Arabidopsis thaliana: one gene and its partner. The protein of the gene in region 2 interacts with the protein of the main gene of each other region in a pairwise test. Each region holds a gene or a part of one and is shown on either strand. Other genes may lie near its edges.

What was found.
Region 1: the proteins of MYB90 (region 2) and SPA2 interact in a two-hybrid assay, tested with the Arabidopsis thaliana proteins (one study listed by BioGRID).

What each region holds. Positions count from the first base shown.
Region 1 is NC_003075.7:6,769,980-6,773,908, forward strand, and holds the start of SPA2 (SPA1-related 2), read left to right. Parts: upstream 1-1,625; 5' UTR 1,626-1,925; intron 1,926-2,180; 5' UTR 2,181-2,183; coding exon 2,184-3,650; intron 3,651-3,929.
Region 2 is NC_003070.9:24,761,924-24,765,852, reverse strand, and holds MYB90 (myb domain protein 90), read right to left. Parts: upstream 1,913-3,929; 5' UTR 1,802-1,912; coding exon 1,681-1,801; intron 1,164-1,680; coding exon 1,034-1,163; intron 952-1,033; coding exon 453-951; 3' UTR 312-452; downstream 1-311. UniProt on the Arabidopsis thaliana protein: Transcription activator, when associated with BHLH12/MYC1, EGL3, or GL3. Promotes the synthesis of phenylpropanoid-derived compounds such as anthocyanins.

The DNA of each region.
Region 1 (3,929 bases), on a different chromosome or scaffold from region 2:
ATTTCAGATGCAACAGAGAGCCAAAAGAAGTAAATTTGAAGCTGCACTCTTAAGTTAAGCTAGTTATGGAAATCTTCTTACATATTGCTTTCTGTTTTTGTCAGGAGTTTATTTAACAATCTCTGGAACTACAACAAACTATTCTATCTACTATCAAATCAATTATTCATTCATGAGTATAATAATAGCTGAAACTTTCTGTGTTACAACAATTTCACCATAACTAAAATTGCATTTGCATTTGAATACTGCAAACGCAAATTGGCTTTGTATACGCATCTTGTTTATATATGGATTAGTTTTTTCTACATAATTAATGAAAGCTTTTGTAAACTAACTCTTGAGTACTAACTAATAAGAAAGTTCCGTGGCAAAATAATTTCCGAATCATCGGATAATCATCCATTTACGAGGTTAAGTTCCGGGAACTGCTGGTGTTAAGGTTCTGGAAGATCTCCGGAAGATTGGCATTAGTGAGTTTGATTCTCTTGCTGATCTGTTGTTTGCCATGCCATGAATATGTGCAACAGCTCTTCTCTGTGTAGTGTTCATCACACATGCTTCAAACTAAGCTTATGCAGCTCCTTCTCGACTAGCTTGTCGCTTGAGTTGTCTATGCCGCGGTATAGAGGTTTAAAGTCGTCATAAACCTGAATCTGACCCTTGAAATCAGCATTAGACAGTCCTTAAACTTTTAGAGCCAGCAAATATGAAAGACAATCCTGAAAAATGGATAATCATAAGACCACAAAAGTCTTTTGAAACCATTTAAGATCAGGAGCCAGTACACTATCCGTCTATCAGAATCTGGCAATAAATATTATCAGAAGCTTATTGATTATGAAGTTAATACATCTTAAATAGAATCAGTTAAGCGTTTTTTGTAAATCTAAATCACATGTGAAATTTCTTTATGTCACGTTTTCATTTGTGTAAAACAATATCTTTTGATTTATTAAGCAAATAATTTGCAGCTAAAGCTCTCAAGATTCAAATAAATTGAAATGTAAGTAGTGTAAGTAGTGATTTCTTATAGAAATAGTTGAAATCTAAAAGTATTAGGACACTGATGTAAGTATTGTTAAACTAAAGAGATCTATCAGGAAATCAAATCACTATAGTTTTTTTTTTTTTTTTAAATTCCTTGAGTTTATCAAACAAAAAAATGTAAATGTCCCTAGCAAGTACTGTAGGTTCATTTTTTTTGTTTCAAAAGAGTATGTTATTTCTTAAAAATCGCCAAAGATAGATAAGATTCGAAATTTGCATAAATGTGGCAATAAATATTATCAGAATCTTTTTATTGAATAATGAAGTTAATACACCTTAAATAGAGAATTAAGCGTTATTTAGATCTAAAACCACATGTGAAATTTCTTTATGTCACGTTTTTGTTTGTGTAAAACGATCTCTTTGAGTTAATTTGCAACTGAAAGCTCTCAGCATTTTACATTAATTGCAATATAAATAGTGATTTCTCATAGAATTAGTTCAAATCTTAAACTATTAGGACAGTTACGTAAACATTGTTAAACTAAAGGGACCAATATGGAAACACAAATCACTGTAGTTAATTTTTATTATTATCTTGAGTTTATCGTCTATCGTGTTCGAATTCTCTGTCGCTTACTTAAACACAGTCAAATTCATTTTCTGCCTTAGAAAAGATTTTTATCGAAAATCGACGTTTTTGAAAAAACTCAAATTATCGTCGTTTTGTTCTCAGATTTCTTCTGCTCTCTTCTTCTTCTCCTTCTTCTTCGTTCCACCGCCTCTGTTGCTTTATCTTCTTCTTCCTTCCTTCGATTGTTGATTACGTCGGTGGATCTTTGTTCTCCTCTGTGTTGTTTTCATTGCTAGATTTCGTCAATGATTGGCTTCTCACGATTCGATTTTTCCGGCTCCTGTTCTTAATTTCCTCTGAGGTAGATTAGTAAAACTCTTTGTCTCGTAAACATTGTTCGATGATGAAATTAGAAAGTTCTCACTCTTGTTTGCCAAATTTGGGATATTTCTGGAATTGAAAATGAATCGTCATTTTTTTCAATTTCTGAGGATTTTGTTACAATTGTTTTTTATTTATGTTAGAATTGAGATTGTGTGATGAATATCAGTAACCCTAGACAATTGTGAAATCAAAGCTATGAAAATCTTTTGATGCTATGTTTCCTATGATACAGAGAATGATGGATGAGGGATCAGTAGGGGATGTGAGTAGGATTGATGAAGCTGATGTTGCTCACCTTCAATTCAAGAATAGTGAGCAGTCGTTTAAACCGGAGAACATTGAAGTCCGGGAAGTAAAAGAAGTGCAGGTTCAGAGAGAAGCTGGTTCTCCTGATTGTTCTTATGGTGTAATAGCAGATTTTTTAGATGGTAAGAATGGTGGTGACCATGTGGAGCTTATAGGGAATGAACCATGTTCTAGCCGGCAGAATACAAATGATGAGGGGGATGTTGTCGAGGAGTTGACTGTTAAAACTTGTGAGGGATCGAGTATGGCTATAGTTGGTAGACCAAGTAGTAGAGCTAGATTAGAGATGAATCGCAGTCAGTTTCTGCATCGTTTTCCGCTAGACGGTGATTTACCGGGTAGTAGTTCTATGAGTAAGAAGGTAATTGACAGGGGAACAGTAAGTATCTTGAGAAATGCTGGGAAAATGTCTTTGCCTGAGACTTCAAATGGACAACTGGCTATTATTGCTGTTAATGGAGAAGCTAATGAACATTTGACAAATGTTGAACGAAATCCTGTACCTGTAGAGGCATTGTCTCATGAAGGCATCAAGACAAAGATGTTATCGCAGTCTGGGTTTTCTCAGTTTTTTGTTAGAAAAACATTGAAAGGGAAGGGAGTTACTTTCAGAGGCCCGCCAAACAATAGATCTAAAGCGAGGAATATGGATCAGCAAACTGTAGCTAGTTCTGGTAGCGCTTTAGTAATAGCTAATACTTCAGCAAAGATTTCTAGCAGCATCCCTTTGGCGGCTTATGATGGTTTGCCGTGCTTACCTTCCAATACCAGTAAACCATCTTCTTGTGCTAATCCTTCAGATACACATAGAGGTTGTGGAGGTGAAGGTTTAAGTCTGAGAGAATGGTTGAAGTCGGAGCGGCAGGAAGTTAATAAAGCAGAATGTATGTATATCTTTAGGCAGATCGTGGATCATGTGGACTGTTCTCATTCTCAAGGAGTTGTTTTATGTGACCTGCGACCATCTTCATTCAAAATTTTCAAGGAAAATGCAGTAAAGTATGTGGTTTCAGGTTCTCAACGAGAGTCTTTTGACAGCAACATGAACAAAGAGACTTTAAGTCAACTCGAAAACCCTCTGGTTAGAAGACGGTTAGGAGATACTTCTAGTCTCTCTATCCCTGCAAAGAAGCAGAAATCAAGTGGACCAAGCTCTAGACAGTGGCCTATGTTTCAACGAGCTGGTGGCGTCAATATCCAAACTGAAAATAATGATGGCGCGATACAGGAGTTTCATTTCAGATCTAGTCAACCTCATTGTAGTACAGTTGCCTGCCCTTTTACTTCAGTGAGTGAGCAGTTGGAAGAGAAATGGTATGCGAGCCCTGAGGAGCTCAGGGGTGACATGCGTTCAGCCTCTTCAAACATCTATAGTTTGGGTATTCTTCTTTATGAGGTATGCCATCTTAATTGTAGCTTTTGACCTGCAATTGTAAGTATGTACATCCATGAGTTGAAATGTGAATCTGCAAGCCCTTAATGTTGACACACATATATATGTTTTCCCGTGGGATTATGTCTTTAACTGGGACATATCGTGTGTGGGTCATGTTTGGGTCCAGATAGATTTAGATAGTGTAGCATGTTTGTTAATGAGATGGTAACAGTGAAGTTTCTCGTTGAAAGTACAGTTGGCTGCATGGCTCATAGGTTTATGTATATATTGATTCGACTG
Region 2 (3,929 bases):
TCAATCAAATAATTTTTGTAAGATAATATTAAATAATTATGTTTACTACTGTACTTAAACTAGCTATTATTTTAACGGTTAGACCAAACAGATCTTAATTATAACTTTCTTATGCTTGTGAAATACCACATTACCATACAACCTTCCACCATGTCTACTTGCCATAAGACATATCTTTCATGGTTAAAACTTTCTTATGCTTTTGAATTTTCTATGGTTAGGTTGAGTGATATTTTAACAAACATTATCACCTTTAACTTTAGTTAGAAAATACTGCATTTAGGAAAATACTGTATTTTCTTTGCGAAAAATATAAATAACGTTTTTTTTTATTACGTAGAAACATAACCATTTTTCTTAAAATGCTGAAATTCTTTACTTCATACAGAAAAATACATTACTAAAATACGAAAGAAAAGCCACCCACAATCTTAAACAAACGGTGAGAAACACTAATCAAGTTCAACAGTCTCTCCATCAAACAGACTCCAAAGTTGCTCAACGTCAAACGCCAAAGTGGCCCCATGTTCAGCTGTCGTCGCTTCAGGAACAATCGCATCAGCTTCTTGGTTTTCCCCCAGTAAATTCTCCAACCACATATTATCTCCATTCATTAGATTATTCACAAAATCATCTTTCTCATCATCTTTGTTACATGTGATACTATTTTCACAAACATTATTTTTCTTGAGTCCAAGGCATGAAGGAATTAAATCAACTTCTGGCAGACCATTGAGATGGCTGCAACCATTGTTAACAGAGAAGGATCGAGGTCGAGGCTTAAAAACACCGATTTTTTGGACCGGTGTTGTAGGAGGGGAAATAATGTTTTTCTTTTTCATTTTAGACTTACAACACGAAGACTCATGTTTTTTACTCAGATGGGTGTTCCAGTAATTTTTGACATCATTAGCGGTCCGACCAGGCAATCGACCAGCAATCAAGGACCACCTAAACATTGTTAAATAATATACATATAAGTTATTAGTGTTGAACTTATGGCTCTTGAAATAACCATTAAAGTAAACAATACCTATTTCCTAGAAGCTTATGAAGGCGAAGAAGAAGATCAACTTCATCATTGCTAAGTCTTCCTCTCTTGATACTTGGCTTCAAATAGTTCAACCATCTTAGTCTACAACTCTTTCTGCATCGATTTAGCCCTACATAACCAATAGTTGACATTAATTATACCAACCAAGACGGCTTTTGGGTCATTTTCTATGTTTCATCTTGAAGAATCTAAGCACACCAATAGAAAGATTAAACTGTTTCAACACAGTAACCGTTTGTTCATAAATTTTCACTGACTTCACTCACCAGAAGACAGCCCAGTGAAATAGTTTAACAACTTTACATGAGCTTAGCATCTTCCTTGTTTGTGAAGAATAAGCTATATATATATATATATATATATATATATATATATATATGCTACGTAAATAAAAAATAGTATAACTTTTTTATTTATATAAAACTCTTCGTTTAAATAAACTGCATAAAGAATTATTCTGAATAACCAGTTGTTTTTTTTGTTTTTTTTTGTTTTACCATACACTAGCATATGAATCAATAATTTGCTCCTTAAAACAAAAAGAAAAGTAAAATAAAGATTTCCGAATATTATATATAGAGAAGAGAATATTCTTAGTCATGAATATATCTGTGTGTGTAACATACCAGCTCTCAAAGGAACTTGATGCCATTTGCCTTCTCCATACTTATCAATACATAGCCTCAAGAGACTATCTTCTTCAGCAGTCCATGCACCTTTCCTCAACCCTTTGGACGAACCCTCCATGGACCAAAGAAAAATTAATATAAAAGTATTTTATCGGATTATTCTAAAACTTTTTTAAAAAAGGCCGAGGAATAGGGGGTTATTGTGGCTTCCCAAATCCTGGGAGGACTTATTGATAATGTGAGCATGTGAGCGAATAGGTATATATATACACGTGAAGGGCATAGGAAAATGACGTGCATGTTTGATATCCACATTTCATGTATTTGCGGTTCTGCTTAATTTACTAAGTTATTGTTTGATTTGACTAGAGAAAAAGTTCATAGCACCTTTTCCAGTACTTAAGAAAAACAAATTACACGTTTCTTATCAAAATTAGGAGAAAGGACTAGTAATGATTGGTCTCAGAGGGTTCATGATTACAAGGAAGAGTTATTTCATGCACGAGAAATAGAACAAAATAAAAAAAATAGGGTGCACCTTCTTACAAAAACTTTTGGAGTATTTTTCTTTACTGAAAATTTTGCAAATAATGTTCACAAACTCATATTTCGTCTTATCATTGTTACATGTGAATCTGATACCACCATATTTGTTAATGCTTACTTTGAAAGAGCTAACTTCTGGCTGCCCGTTGAGCCGGCCGTTATAGAATTGAGTTCGAGGCTTTATAACATTGAGTCTTTGGATCGGTGACGTAGCTGAACATGTAGTTTCCCTCTTTCTCATTCTGCTCTTACAACACGGTTCTTCTTTCTTGTTGAGATGGGTGTTCCGGTAATTCTTGACATTATTAGCGATCCGACCAGGCAATCTACCGGCAATCGGTGACCATCTAAGCTTGCATTGGAACAAGTTGTATTGGATAATTACATTATGTAAATAAATTAGATTTGTGTGTGAGGAATATAAACTTGTGTCTAATCAATATAAGTGACTCAATAGTTTACAACAATAGTATATATACCAGCTCTTAAAGGAACTTGATGCCATTTGCCTTCTCCATACTTATCAATGCACTGCCTCAGAGACTATCTTCTTCACCATCCCATGTACCTTTCTTCAACTCAGTGGACGAAGAAGCCTCCATGAACCAAAGATAATCACTAAAAGTATCACAACCAAATTATTTAAAAACTTATAAGTAAATTGCTGATGAAGAGGGTATACATACTATGGCTTACACAAATCCTTGAAAGACATTTGACAATGAGAGTATGTGAGCTATTATATATGTACAAGAAGAGCGTGCATGTTTGATATCCACATTTCATGTCAATATGCAATGATCGATTGCTTCCGTGGTTGCAAAGAGAACAAATTTTCCAAGCATGAAACACATAGCCATTGTGCTTCTAATATCTTCCATGCTTCCAGCCCAATTCATTTCTGGATTTGAAATACAACCCCAAGCTTGTGGTCCATTTAATGTAGCGTATAAATCGCTTAGCCTGCTTGAAGTAAAACATCTTGGGCTACTCATGTGCCGTGATAGATAGCTTATTTGCATAAGCAATACCTAGTCGTGTAGTTATCCGATAGAAGCGACTTCAATTCCCACAATAATTTGATACTCCCTTTCATCTGCCAATCTTTTTTCATTTCTATTTTATACTTTTTCACATTCTTTTTTGTCTCGACATCGTCGACCTCTTTTGGTCTCCACTAGTTGTTACTACTATATATGTAACTCTCAATGTAACATACAAGCTAAACCAAATAACTAAAAGTTACAACTTTCCACATAGTACTAGGTTCTAATCAATGCTATGCGTGGACGTAAAATTTATAAGAAAAATATATATTATTTGATTACATTTATCATCTGATTTAATTATTTAATTATTTTCTATGATTAAATATTTTTGATGATGCACATATTTCTTTGACATGAATACAGAAAAAATAACAGTAATCTATCCTTAACATTGCAAATTATATATAACTTTTGCCTTTTGGTGGTGCAGATTTCACTGTGAAAAATGAGTTTTATGCAAAAAAAAAAAAAAAAAAAAAAAAAAAATCCTTCAAAAATGTTTTCTACAAGTTTACCCCCCCCCCCAATTTATAAAGAATGCAGATCAAACTTAGGAAGTTGAATTTAATGTGCAACATAACCATAACGTGCATCTTAAATGAGTTTAGTACAGTCACATATATTAGTATTCTTAAATTCGAAAAATAGGCT